Linked DNA regions of Stegostoma tigrinum. The protein of the gene in region 2 purifies or fractionates together with the protein of the main gene of each other region. This does not show direct contact. Links are inferred from orthologs where the notes say so. Each region holds a gene or a part of one and is shown on either strand. Other genes may lie near its edges.

Region 1 (7,755 bases), on a different chromosome or scaffold from region 2:
TATCAAATGGCAGTTTGTTTGAAAGATACACTAACAGAAGAAAACATATTTTGGGTTTAATTGAAAAGTTGTTTTAAAATTTAAAATCCGTTTTCCTTCACCACGCCAACATAAACAGGATTTCCTTCCTGCACCCCATAAGATTTTTATGATGGAGAGGCACAATGCGTAAAGGTTTATTTTCCTTTTATGTTCGCGAACCAGACTTTTCAGAATTTTGTAATTATTATTAATAAAGCAGATATATTCAGTTTTAGGATTGGACAATATGCAATATCTCAAAGCATCTATTCAATTTTACAAAAGAACTGAACTTCTGGCTAATGGCATAATTTCACTGTTTTGGGTTTAACATTTTATCACAAATTCTAAAAATGATGTCAAAATGCATATTAAAACATTTCATAGCATCAGGATCACTTACAACTTATTCCTTATTCAAAGACTATTGAAAGACTTCATATATTGTGAATAGCTTTGGATCGTAATATTTTCATATTTTGAATCATTAAAGGCAGTGGTTTCATATCCTGCTTTTAAGCATTAATGTACAGTTTGATGCAAAATGCTACAGGTAGATAAGTTCAGAGTCATACAGCAAGGAAACAGACACTTTGGTCCAACTAGTCCACACCGAACATGTTTCCAACCTAAACTACTTACAACTACTGCATTTGGCTCACATCCCTGCAAACCTTTCCTATTCATGTACCCTTGTAACTGAACCTGCAACTACCACTTTCTCTGGAAATTCATTCATACAATATCCACTGTGGAAAAAAAAATGTTGACCCTCACGTTCTTTTTAAATCTTTCTCCTATCTTAAAAATGCCCCCTAGTTTTAAATTCCACCAGCCTAGAGAAAAGACCCTTGTTATTCTCCTTATCTATGCCCCCTCATGATTTTATAAATCCCACTAAGGTTACCCCTCAAACCTTCAAAGATCCAGTAAAAGCCTCAGTCTTCCCACTCTATTTTTATATCTCAAATCCTCCATTCCCGGCAACATCCTGGTAAATCTTTGTTGAAACCTCTCCAGTTTAATAATATCCTTCCTATAGCAGGGCCACCAGGACTGAACACAGTACTACAGAAGAGGCCTCACCAACGTTCTGTGTAACCTCAACATGACGTCCCAACTCCTATACTCAAAGATCCGAGCAATGAAGACAATTGATTATTCAGACTTTAACGTTCATTTTGATTTCAAAGCTCATACAGCTCAGAGAACATTTAAGCTGTCTTTCTCTTAAAAATGTATTAGAAGCTTGCATAATCTGGTTTATAGTGAACAATTAAATAATTCAACAATTCTGTAACCAATTAGCAAAAAAGTAAACTTAACTAGATAACAATATAATTCTTGATTAAAAAGATATGGTAAGAAAAGTAAAAGTCCCATTAGACAATGAAAGAATTATCAATTTTAGATAATGTTGATAATATTGTTTTGGACTAAATGCAAATCCTAATTTGAAGACTCCAATATATAAAGACATGATCCTCTGTTAATTTCATGCAGTTGTTTTAGTTCTAATTCTTGAAAACAAAACAATCTAATTTGAAGCTGTTTAGACTTAAAACTAGTTCATGTAGTTAACAATGTACTAGTCACATTGTGTTTACATGCCCAGACAATAATTTAGAAATGTTATTTCACAACTTTAGTTGCATTCTAACTGTTTTATGTTTTGACAGAAAAAAAGGAGGCACAAAGGAAATGGAAAGAACATAATCTGATTTTTATTTTTGTGAAGAATATTCCAAGTAACTTTTAAATTACTTTTCCATCAGATTCTTTGGAAACATTGCCTAATGTTATGAATTTTGTTTGAAATATTTCAATAAGCTACAATTATTTGCTTTGTCTAAATATAGGTTACATTTTTCAATAGTATTGAAAACAAATATCACAGTATACAATGCTTTAAAATGACAAAATTAATTTACTTTTGTACTGAATTTATGACGAAGTTACACTTTAATATATATTAATCTATTAAATCCATTGTCAAAATTACCTTGGCTATAATAAATTTGTGCAATATTTTAAAATCACATTATTTGCAAATATTTTGATCAGGTTTAAGCTTCACTGTTATTTATCCTTGTAGAGCGATGGTTTTACTCAACAATAAATAATTTCAAAGTAGTTAAGGAATTGCATTTGTATTGTTAATCGTGACTACAATATCTACACAAAGAATGAAATGTGCAACGTGCAGAACAAAGTGAGATTTGCTCTCACAAAAAGTAAGTTGATCAATTCAACATGTTTTTAATACATATTTAGAAGATAAAGAACAAAAACCAATACCCTATAAGCTTTTCAAAAGCGTTGAAATGGTTATAGAGGTGGCATTGCTTTATATTTTCTTAAATCTATGCGGCTCTCTGTAGAACCACTGATGTTTTAATTTGAAAACAAAACTTCAAATGTGTTTATTCAAAGTACTTTACCATTTTTAATGTATGTTTTCATGTTAAAACATTAAATATTAAAACAGTACAACATATAGGAATTTAAGATAATTGAAAAGTCAACATAAAGACTTTTTACTGAAACATCGAGTTGTTATTTGACATTTTGTTTGAAGATGGAAACTTATAATAACATAGTGCACTTTAACTGGTAATAAGAATTTAGTTTGACATCAGTTTTTCATAATTTCAAAATGAACAACATTGACACCTCTGGTATTTGAAATTGATTTAAGTAGAGGTGGATGATTATGGGGAATGCAGACGAAGCTTTAAGGAACAGTAGAAAGTGTGAACTTTGTGGTAGAACAAAGATTTGAAGCATATCACAACTATAATAGAACATATTAACTTAGTTTTTCTCTTCTGCCACAAAATAAGTTCCAAAGTGTCAGATCTTGGATATAATAATCTGTTCATAATGTATTATTTCTTTAACAACAATTTTTGGGAGTTTTTTTAAACAATGAAGCTCTTATAAAGCCCTACGTTCTATTTGCCCCTCCCCCAGTTTGAATTTTCATTTAAAGTGAAGCTTTGGTTATTGAATTGACCATTTAAACATGGTAATCAAATTAAATGGATATTTTAATCTTTCAGTAAGCTGGTAAAAGATATATGAAACAATTTATTTACTTACACCACACAGTAATTTCCCCCAATGAGTCCAAATGGGACGGCACACCACACGATTAAAAATTAATACTCAACCGAATCACCAAATTAACATTTTCTTTTTCCTTGGCTAGTCCGATTATCAATCGCACTAAACACGCAGCAAATACAATTTTAAAAGTATTTTGTAAATCAATTACATCAATAAATACGGCATATATTTGACTTCAATCCACATACTTCAATTTCCCGAAGATTGCTATAACGTTCCAGGAATTATAATCGGCAAACGGAACATGAAATCGGAACAAAAGATTTTGAAGCAGTTAACGTAAACGAAATAGCACGATTAACTTCAGTTTTGAATTTATGAAAACGTGCTAAGCGCTCGTACGCTACCTATCATCTAGTCCATTAAAGTGGACAGCTAGAGTCATGAGGAATGATCGCAAGGTACAACTTCATTCACTAACGATTATTTTATTTTTATAACGAAATTACCCCCTCGTGCCGGGCGGGGAAATTATTAGATGCGTCCGTAAAGAGCGAAGTGGCTTTGCACAATTTTTAAATCGACAATACCGAACTTCACACATACGCGATTGCCAACAAAGGAGACGGGTTTGAATCTCGGATGTAGATTTTCGTTCGTTCTGAACACTTCCGCCAATAAAGTTGTGCAATGTGAATTTAGTTAGCTATTTTTCCAAAAAACGAAAACGTTCTTTTTTTAAGAAGAACTGCGCCAACGACAGCTCAGCACGAGTTATTTTAAAAAATAATTCTGATACGCTTTTATTTTTTTTAACAAAACTTGCCTGTGGGCACACATTTAAACAAACGACCTTTGAAAATAAATCAAAGACCTGGAGTTCCAATATTTTATAGAGGTAACGTCGCCTCGTGTGAACAATAGTGGAGTTGCCGAATAGCGTAAGAAAACGTCGAAACTGCTACAACTTTCAAAAGATCACTTTCGACCAACATTTCAATGAGATAATGTAATTACCCATTCAGTGGATCCCATCAACCAACCAAAATCTGGGGGTAAAAACGTCGTTTAATAATAAAAGAACAACGTCTCCAATAATAAAGGAGCAGCCATTGCAACGTATCGGTTTTGGCACGACCCGATTAGACATCTCCTGAACACGGTATCGTTACCACATTATTCAGCTTTAAACAGGGAGGGGACGCAAAAGATGGGCAGATCACAGCGAAAATGCACTCCCTCCCCCGCCTCGCCTCACACAACCAGCCCCAACCCCCACCGATCAACCAGACCAATAACTCGCATAACCATCACCACATTGGGGAACTGCAACAGTCAGGAGAATTTTCGCGCCATCGCCCTTGTAAATGGCAGCCTGATCTAAGCCAATGAATGAAATTTGCAGGCAGAGAGGGAGAGAGAGCAAAAAAAACTTGGTCAATGGTAGCGAGGCTGGAGACGCTTGATAGGATCCTAGAGTCAAGCTGTGTGCGAATGAGAAGACGGAAAATGGGAAGAGGGAAAAAAATGGAGAGCGCTCCAAACTACTATTATTCCACAATCAATATGTTTCTCGGATTCTTGGAGTACAGCTCGTCCCTCCCTCCGTTTCTCTCCCAGTATCATTGAATAGCTGGCATTCCTCACGTGAGAAGTTGATATTAGTTTGACCACGTGGCTCATTCAGCCGGAATATTCGGGGATTTTTTGGAGCTGCATTTTATTCAGAGGCGGTGCTAGTAGTAACGTAGTGTGACATTTTCACAGCCTGTTTGCGAAAGGGGTTTTGGGGGAAAGACAAAAAAATAGTTTTTTTCTCTCTCCGAAGCCCGCCATTCTAGACTGCTAATACTACTTCTGGGGATTTATTTTATCATCGCGTGTATTTTTTTTGTAAGGACTCTTCTCGCTCCCATCTTTATATTTAAATCGACCGATTATTTCTCCAAAGGGAAGATAAGGACGGAAGGATCTTTGTCTTTTTTTTTGCAGTTTTAGCAACATGAACAAGCTGTACATTGGGAATCTCACCGAAAACGTAACCACTGTGGACTTGGAAAGTCTTTTCAAGGAATGGAAGATTCCCTTCACTGGACAGTTTCTGGTGAAATCTGGTTATGCATTTGTCGATTGCCCAGATGATAACTGTGCTATGAAGGCGATAGATACTCTGTCAGGTAAGCGAGTTAATCCCTTGTAGTCTAATATTACCTCAAGTTTTGAAACAAACAGTCGTGAACCTTGTTTGGTGGGAGGCCTAAGGCAGCTCCTTGCGCACCAGTTTCGCACAAATCGACTGGGGGCGCGGGCGAGACGAAGCTGCTTACACCCGTGTGTTTTGCAAATATCCACTCCTCGTATCTACACCTAAACTGGATTTTCTTGTGACGTTCGCACAGAAATTGGGTTTCTTTTTAACCTAATCTAAATAACATTTGGAACCCCCACCCGTTATTCCTCTGCATCTGCACGCGGTCTTTTCTTTCCCCCATTGAATTGTTACACTTCAAGCGTTCAGTGGATTGACAGTAACTATACGGGGATGCATTCTGTACAGGATTCTTTAATTTGTCAACTCTTTATTGATCTTGTGTAATTGGGCTGGGGTCGGAGAATTCGGCCCGTGTTGTTGTACCTTCTTGGTGAGAGTAGGCCTTTAATAACTCCAGCGGCAGCTCGGAGCCATCATTCAAATCAGTGCGCACCGGGAAAGGAATACGCACTTCAAATCTTATACTTCTGACAGAAATAAAGACAAATGAAAGCTCACTATCCGAAAACTATTGACAATATCAATTTTTTTTTCATTCGTTCCGTCCCCCAGCGCGAACGCATTTGTAGTCGGCCATACTGAGTCCCAAAAGTGTCCTTTAGCACTCGACCACTAGAAAAATGGCTGAGAATTAGAGCACAGCAATTGAGTTCACGTTTTCTTAAAAAAAAATTTCAAATTGTACTTGTTCATATCAGTTTTGTGACTACAGTTGACCGACTCCTTTACGTTCTACGCCGAACTTTCTTGTCGACACTGTTCCGAGATTTGTAACATAGTTGCCCAGCAAGTTGTTGTTCAACTGCAAACCTAACGCTTAAGATCAACAGAAGATAATTAAAAATAATCTTGGCTGAACGGTCGATTTTAAACGTTTTCAAGTGCTTAATACGCATTGTATTTTGTGCTTTGCTTCAGGTAAAGTTGAGCTGCATGGGAAATCTATAGAAGTGGAGCACTCCGTTCCTAAACGACAAAGGTAAAAGAAACTTTAATTCGTATCAGATTTCTTTCCGATCAGAGAGAATTAGACTACAACTGACTAATTAGCGATTATATCTGTTTGGAATTCAAGGTTATCTTAAACCCTACGAGTCTCTGGGATCCGTCTACTTAAGTTAGAAACTAATTACCGTTTGAATCTCGGATACTTTTTTTAAATGTCCCTTTGTACTTTTGTTTTGGTTTCTAGTTGAATTCTTTTATTTCTTTTATATATCACTGGAGTATTTGATCAAAAATATTTTATTTGAGAAGACACCAGAACACACTTCTAGTTTTAAAACGAGACCTGGTGCAGTGTTTTTTGAGAAGTTTGGGCGTCAGCAGGAAATGATCTGAGATGCTTTGCATCATGCTAATCGACAAACACGTGAGGAGCTCTCAATTTAAGAGCCAACAAAACGAAAATCACAATTCAATGTTTCCTCTATTGTCCACGAAATGTAAGAGATCATTTGATAGGGAAGGGAATTAATTCTTGTGTATTTGTTGCTTCACGTGAACCCTAATGTGCAATCGATTGTTCATCGATCTTAAAACTGTGCATTAAGATTATTCAAAAATGTTGTTACCAAAATATATAATTGATATTGTATGGAGTGTTGAGGTTAAACATCAATATTTCACTCTAAGGCTAATTTGACAGTTCTAAAACAGGATTTAATAGCTTTAGAAAGCAATGCCAACTGTTGGCTTTTTAAAATAAAGATCACTATTGGTTTGAACGTTCCATATGGATTGATAGAAGTTGAATTGTTTGTCACAGGATGCTTTTGTAATACAAAAATTACTAGGTTAGTTTTTGACCTATTTCCTCACCTGGCTGGCTTCAAGTTTCTCAGTAGAAAAAACAAACTTTTGAGGACCAGACTTAAAATGAGATTTGATTTCATTCACTCTTCAAAAGATGCCTCCATTCTTTGTGCTTCAGCTTTTGGTTTAATGTAACTTTACAGATTTACATGGAGTGTCATGAGGTTACGTCTGAAGGTTGTTGAAAATGCTACATTTGTGTGTGAGAGAGAGAAATGCTTGAATGGGCAAAATTTGGCATGGGAGTTACTTTACATTGCTTCCTGTGTGATTCTTCTCTTCACCTTTTCTTCCATTTGTTTGGCCTCAAACTGTACAACTTTTATTCCATATTCCCTGTAGTTCATTAGTACAGGATGTCTAAATTATTAATCTTCAGTCCTCTTTCTTTGCAAACCAGGCAGGAATTTTAAATATTAAATGTTCAGAAGGATTTAAGATTTGAATCTAAAAGCTAAATTGTAACTTTTGAACCATGGCATTTAAAGCTGGATATGCTATGATTTGAATTTATAAATTGCTGAATTTTTTTTAAAGAACTCAAAAGTTTTCTCAGTAAAAGGTTTACCATGTTTTTA
Region 2 (7,390 bases):
AGACTTAAACAGAAATTGCTGGTGAAACTTAGCAGGTTTGGCAGCATTTTATGGAGAGAAAGCAGAGGCAAAGTTTCAATCCAGTGATCTTTCTTCAGAATCACTTTGCAGAAAGGTCATTGGGCCCAAATCATTGACTCTTTCTGTCCACGGATGCTGCTAGACCTGCTGAGTTTCGCCAGCACTTTCTGTTTTTGTTTCAGATTTACAGCATCCACAGTTTTTATGTTTTGTCTTTCACACTGGACTTCTTGGGCTGAATGGCCTACTTCTGCTACTGTGTCTTCTCTTCAAACCGGGCTGATGGGGGTTAGCTACAGATCAGCCATTGATCTAATAATGGAGAGATAGAGTTGTTAATTTGGTGCAAATCTTACGGAAGTAAAATTCTGCAGATGTTGGAAATCTTAAACAAATACAAAGAGTAGCAGAGTTGCCCTGGGCTCACAATGGTAACTGTGTTCCTCATTGCACAAATGCTGCCAGACCTGCTGACTTTCTCCACCGTTCCCTGTGTTTGTTACAGATTTTCAGCATCTGCAATGTTGCTATTATTTTAACATTTACACCTGTTTTACTCTGATTCCCCTTTACCTCATTGTCACTGCCTTTGTCTTTGGTCTGCATCACTTTTTCCATCTATTCCACTTGCTTTGTTTACAGCATAAAGCCATCATTTTCCAGCTCCTTTCAGTTTTGAAGAATAGCTGACCTGGACTCTGAAATGTTAACTGTGTTTCTATCTCCACAGCGGCTGCCAGACTTGATGAGATTCTACAGCATTGTGTTTGTTTCAGATTCACAGCATTTTGCTTTTCTAAAACTGACAAAGTCCTCTCTCTCTTTCATCTCTTAAAATTAATTAATGCCCTCTTGCTCACCCTGTTATTTGTCTTTTTCTGCTCGGAGAGCCGTGGTGGAGTTGTCACTGTGTGATAAGTATGGGCACCACATGGCTTTCGCATTGCCTCCCCTCTGGAATTCAGACTGCTTTGTCCACGTTTGGACATGTTTCGGAGATGGGGACCCTGTCAGAACTCAAACCTAACAGCAGTTATTGTCGAGTAAGTTAGTGCAGGTTGACAGCATTGTCGAAGACCTATTTTGGTGGTCCATCTTTGATGGCTGTGCTTTCATCTGCTTTGCTCCAAGCTCTGGAATTTGCTTTCCTTAAACCTCCCTGGTCTTCTCCCTTTAACACTGTTCTTAACACCTGTCTTTCCTATTGTGTCACCTACTTCCTTGGGAGCCTTGGCTTCTAATCTTGTCACAATCTCTCACTATGAAGCACTGTGGATTTTATCAAAAATTAAAACTGCTATGTCAACAATGTTGTTGTAAAGGTGCAGTGTAATAGTAGATGAGCTGTTAGATGACCTTGCTGAAGTCAAATAGTCGTTCTTTCAGCATCGTATTCTCTCAAACATTCAGAAATGTCAACGGCAAATTAAGTTACTTGACAGGCATGTGAATGTACCAAGGTTGTTGTTAATTTCCATGATTGGGGAAATGTTATAAAACAGCAGCTCTGTGAATTGTATACCTAATCATCTGGACTGTTGAGGCAGTGCAGCCTTGTTAATGAAGATCTCATTCTCAGTTAAGCACAATTCCAGGTAGCAAACCTTTTTGACTTCTGTTTTAAATGTAACCCCCTGGAATAAGTCACCTTGGCTTTTGGCGTTACTTCTATTTTGCTTTGAATTTAGTACTTGCCTTTAGCCTTTTGAGAGTTTGGTGCGTTACAGCAAAAACAGCATTGACATTTGCAATTGTCTACATTACCCAGTTGTAACTGATATCAACACTCTAATCAATGCAGGTGTAGAGAAAATGTGCAAAATTACAAAGGTCATGGTACTCACAGGAACATGTCTAGGTTCTCCATATTGGCCCTGAGGGATGGATGCTTGTGGTATAAGCACCAGTGATTAAAAATCTGCATTTTTGGGGCATTAATACATCTTACAGTAGATTTAATTGGATTAATAGAGATCAAATCATCCAATGGCAATGGATACCTATTGAATATAAATTTCCAGATTATAATCTGGATAAAGATGAGAAATTTCATTATAAGGAGGGTTAATTGTGTGTTGAATGCCCTACCAAAATATGGGTGTAAGCAGCTTTTTTGAAGGGAAGTTGTGTTATAATACAGATGGGCATGAGCTGGCACAGGCAGGCTGAATGTTGTGTCTGTGCTGTCACATTGAATAATTCTGAGATCCCCAAAGCAGGACGCTGTTGCAGAAAATTTTCGACATGAATGCGCAAAATTCCTATCTCAAAACCACATTTGAATGTGGCATTGATGATGCCCACGGTTAATTCTAGTGAAGACAGTGTATGTTGTACCCACAACCTGCCGCAAGGTTGGCAGTTTTCACTGTGTCAGGAGCAAGGCACAAAGCTGGAACACAAACACACACTCTGGTTACATTGCAAGAATTTAACCTGTTCTGAGAACTCCTTCCTCATTCCTCCAGAGTTTTGCTTCTCAGCCTTTCCCATTTAGTATCGGCTGTGATGAAGTGAGCAGAACTGTTGCCTTGAGGTCAGAACGTTGTGGGTTCAAATTCCACTTCAACACTTGTAAGTCCCTGTGCAACACTGAGGGGTGCTACGCTGTCGGAGGTACTGTCTGTGGATGAGACATCAAAAACAAGGGCCGATCAACCCCCTCATGTTGATATTGAAGATTCTCTGTCATTACTTTGACGAAGAGCAGGGAAATTATCCTGGTGTCCACACTGTCAACCTTGCACAAGCAGCTTGTTATCGCATAGCTAATTGTAGGAGTACATTTGACTTAAATTGAATGCCATATTTTAATAATGCACTTCATTTCAAACATACTTCATGGCTATAAAATACTACGGAGTGTTTGGCATTCATGAAAGGTGCTAGCCTTTTCCTTTTGGCTTTCTGGCAATGTGTCCTATTGATTTCCCCCCCCACACTGCTCTTGTATTGACCTGGAGTTTTCAGGATGGGACTCTGCACTTTTTTGTACACAGTGACTGCAGGCAGACCATTTACAGTCTGAACGCACGACACCATGGAGCAAATACTATGCACAGACAGCTCCCCTTCATGTTTAAAAAAAAACTGACTTTGAGAGCCAGTGAATTTCACCCTGGAAACTACAGATTAAGCTCACCTATTGGACATAGAATGCTAGGACGATGCAGGGACCTGGAGGGATAATGTTTTCACACAGAAGGTGGTGTATTTATGGAACCCAGGTGCCCAAGGAAGTGGTGGAGGCTGTACAATTACAACATTTAAAAGGCCATCCGCATGGGTATGCAAGTAGGAAAGGTTTAGAGGGATATGGGCTGTCTTTTTCTCTAAGGTGGGGGATTTCAAGACTGGGGGGATATATTTAAGGTGACATGAGAAAGATTTAAAACACGTGAGAGGCAATTTTTTTTGGCTCTGTTTACACTAGTTCATATGTGGAATGAACTTGCACAGAAAGAGGTGGATGTGTGTACAGCTGCGACATTGAAATGACATTTGGATGAGTACATGAGTAGAATATGATGGGAGGGATATGGGCCAAGCACAGACAGGTGGAGCTAGTTTAGTTTGGGATTATGGTCAGCATGGATTAGTTGGACCAAAGGGTCTGTGTCTGTGTTCTATGACTGTGAAAGTAGGACTAGACAACTCGCAACTGGAACGTTCCAAGGAAATGTTTCTCAATGACATCCAATTAGACCCCCATTTAGGGAGGTTTGGAGGGGCTGGGGGAATGATTGGGACTCACCATCTATGGAACAATGACGAGTGAATGTAGGATAGTGTGAATGAAAATATAGGTGCAGAAGGTAAGTAGATGTTGATGTTTTGAGGGAAATTGAATGTTAACTGACATTATTTAAGCAGCAGAACAAAATAGTTGTCGGGGATTAATGTAATGACTTCAGCGTATGTAAACAAGATGGTTCGTGAGCTTAGACTGGCCACTTTTCCCAACATTTCCTTTGGGGACTTTAAGATTCTGTCCCTGTTATTGCTGTCTTCTAGATTTGATGCCAGCATCATTTTTGATCTGTGCTCTTTTTGTTTTCGTTACTTGTGACTGATTTTAAAAAGTTGCTTTTGAATCCAGGACTTGGCTTGTTTGGTATTTTTGGCCACATCCAGGATTCAGGAGCTTGGACACACTACGCCACAGACCACCTTAATGCTGTTTCCTTGGGGTTGCATGTTTTCCCCACCTACGGAGCTTGTATCTGTTTTAACTGCGCATTCATATGCTTTCTATTGCAGAGGCGACAGAGGACGTGGCCGTGGACGTTTTGGTGCAAGGGGTGGCCCAGTTGGGGGGTACGTGTCACGAGACAGTCGTTTGCTAAAGATTTTTTCTGTTACAATCCAGATTTTATTAATTTGAAACTTTTATTTCTCTCCAACGTAAACAGGTTCAGACCATTCGTTCCTCACATCCCATTCGACTTCTATGTGGTAGGTGACAGTATCTTTTCTCAACACGTCACAGAGCACTGTGCAGCCGATGAGACAATTTTGACACCCAGTCATTGTTATATGTTAGCTAATTGTACACATTAAGCTGTATGGTAATGACTGGGTAAACTACAACAGGGAGTTGCTGGAGTGAATATTGACCTAGATGCCAGAGCCTGCCTTTGAGTGGTTACAATGGGCTCCTTTACCTCCACCTGAGAGTGGAGATGCCAGTGTTCGACTTGGGTAGACATAGTCAGAGATCACATGACACCAAGTAAGAGCCCCAACAGGAGATAGCAAGAACTGCAGGTGCTAGAGTCACAGTCCGAACAGGTTTATTTGAATCACAAGTTTCAAAACACTGCTCCTTCGTCAGTTGAAGTGGAAGGACCTGTACCGGCACAGAATTTATATGCAGAGAGATAATGGCAAGATAATTACAGGTAACTAAGAATGGTCATCCCCTCACTTGCTAGTCTGCTGTTGTCACTTCACTTACACCATTTAACACTTTTTTGATCACCTGCATAGAAATGTTATTCTGCTTGTCAATACTCTACTCACACACTATTGGGGAGCACTGTTGTGGGGAAATGTTAGCCCACTCAAGGACAGTGGAGTGAGTGTGTGTGTCTGTGTGTGTGTCTGTGTGTGTCCAGAAGAGGTCGGTGGAGAGGTCTTAAAAGATAACTCTGTACCAGTATTTGTGAAAGAGAAGTAATTGGAACAGGGGTGATCTCAGGGAACAGAGAGTCGCATTACTAAACCAAGTTGCTATTAAAAAAGAAGTGGTGATGTGTGTCTTAAAAAGTATTAAGATAGATAAGTCCTCTGGTCCTGGTGGGATCTATCACAGAATATTGAGGGAGGGAAGAAAGCCCGTCGCTGGACCACTGACAGGCATCTTTCTATCCTCTTTGGTGACAGGTGAGGTCCCAGAGGACTGGAGAATAACCATTGTTTAAAAAGCGTATTGGGGATAATCCAGGAAATTACAGGCCTCTAAGCCTCATGGTGGTAGGGAAATTAGTGCAATAGATTCTCAGGGTCAAGATCTATAAGCATTTAGAAGCAAATGGACTGACTAACACTCAACAGCATGGTTTTATGCAGGAGAGGCCGTGCCTCAATAACTGATTTGAATTTTTTGAGGAGGTGATGGAAATGATTGAGGGAAAAGTGGCTGAGGTTGTCTACATGGACTTCAGTAAAGCCTCTAACAAGGTCCCTCGTAGCAGACTGGTACAAAAGATGAAGTCACATGTTATTGAGGTGAGCTGGCAACATGGATACAGATCTGACTTAATGATTGGAGACAGGGTAGCAGTGGAAGAATGCTTTTCAGAAGGGAAGGTTGTGACTGGTGATGTTCCACAGGGATCACTGCTGGGACCTCTGCTTGCGATCTACATCAATGATTTGAAGGAAAACATAGCTGGTCTAATTAGTAAGTTTGCAGATTATAACAAAGATCGGTGGAATTGAGAATAGTGAGGAGGATTGTCAGAGGATACAGCAGGTTATAGATCATTCGGAGGTACGGGCAGAAAAATAGCAAATGCGTGTTTAATCCGGACAAATGCATTTTGGAAGGTCAAGTACAGGAACTTATACAGTGAATGGCAGAACCCTTAGGAGTATTGACATGCAGAGGGATCTTGCTGTGCAGATCCACAGATCACTAAGTGGCTGTGTACGTAGAAAGGTGGTTTAAAAAAGGCCTACAGCAGCGTGCTTGCTTTCTTTGGAAGGGGCGTTGACTACAAGGATAGTCAAGTTATGCTGCGGCTTTAGAGAAGTTTAGTTAGGCCATACCTAGAATATTGCTGACAATTCTGGTCCCCTCACTGCCAGAAAGATGTGGATGCTTTGGAAAGGAAATAGAAAAGGTTTGCTAGGATGTAGCCTGGAATGGGAATTTTAGCTATAAAGAAAGGTTGGATAGACTGGGCTTGTTTTCACTAGAATGCAGGAGGGCAGCTAGAAAGAAGTTCATAACATTGTGCATGGCCTAGATAGTGTGAAAAGAATGCGGTCTTTTCCCAGGGTGAAGGGGTCAATTACTAGAGATACAGATTCAAGGTACCATGGGGGTGTTCAAAAGAGATGTGTGAAAAATGTGCCTTGCACAAAAGTAGCATTCACGAATCACTTGAATGAATACAAGCATAGGAAGGGAATAGAGGGATATGGATCCTGTAAGTGAAGACCGTTCTAGTGTGGAACGGCAAAATGTGCTGGCGCAGGCTTGGAGGGCTGAAGGACCTGTTCCTGTGCTGGATTGTTCTTTGTTCTGTTGTACTTATCTTTTGATACTCTTAATTACCTTGAATTATCTTGTTGTTATATCTCCACGCATAAATTCTGTCCCAGTGCGCTTCCCTTCATGTCACCTGATGAAGGGGCTACACGCTGAAAGCTTGTGATTTCAAATAAACCTCTTGCACCATAACCTGGTGACAAGTAACTTCTGACTTTGTCCATCTGAAAGGGCAGGTGGGACCTTATTTTTACATTTCCCTTAAAGCTAGCGCCTCTGACACCACAGCCCTCCTTCAACTACCACACTGATTTGTTGGCCTGTATTTTGTCCTGATGTTCCTGGGCTGTGAACCCATGGCCTTTTGACTTGGGGGACAGTGCTCTGCGCTAATCCATGGCCGATGTACAGTGCTTGTTAAAGCTGGCACAGTGCATTGGCACCACCTGGGCTCCTCTGGTTATTCTGTTACATTCAAATGTCTGCCTGCTTCATTGGGCAATATGTAGGGTCCACTTGACCTCCATGAAAAGGAAAGTTGGGTTGTGTGTGTACTGTTGTTAGAGCAAGCATTTGGAGCTTTATATCTGCTCTGTAAATTCCACGAATTTGGTGCTTTGTAGCCTGACTTCCATTTGATGTTAAAGCTTG

The links. Proteins that work in one complex are often made in the same cells at the same time.
Region 1: the proteins of ilf2 (region 2) and igf2bp3 purify together in Homo sapiens (affinity purification with mass spectrometry; 3 studies listed by BioGRID and IntAct, counting the BioPlex papers as one, with this or other methods). This does not show direct contact. The link is inferred for Stegostoma tigrinum from reciprocal best matches to the Homo sapiens genes ILF2 and IGF2BP3.

Annotation. Positions count from the first base shown.
Region 1 is NC_081355.1:76,370,645-76,378,399, reverse strand, and holds the start of igf2bp3 (insulin-like growth factor 2 mRNA-binding protein 3), read left to right. Parts: upstream 1-4,418; 5' UTR 4,419-4,737; intron 4,738-4,743; exon of another isoform or gene 4,744-5,082; 5' UTR 5,083-5,092; coding exon 5,093-5,267; intron 5,268-6,280; coding exon 6,281-6,341; intron 6,342-7,755. UniProt on the Homo sapiens protein: RNA-binding factor that may recruit target transcripts to cytoplasmic protein-RNA complexes (mRNPs). This transcript 'caging' into mRNPs allows mRNA transport and transient storage.
Region 2 is NC_081400.1:1,950,194-1,957,583, reverse strand, and holds the start of ilf2 (interleukin enhancer-binding factor 2 homolog), read left to right. Parts: upstream 1-4,260; 5' UTR 4,261-4,338; intron 4,339-4,433; 5' UTR 4,434-4,476; intron 4,477-7,390. UniProt on the Homo sapiens protein: Chromatin-interacting protein that forms a stable heterodimer with interleukin enhancer-binding factor 3/ILF3 and plays a role in several biological processes including transcription, innate immunity or cell growth.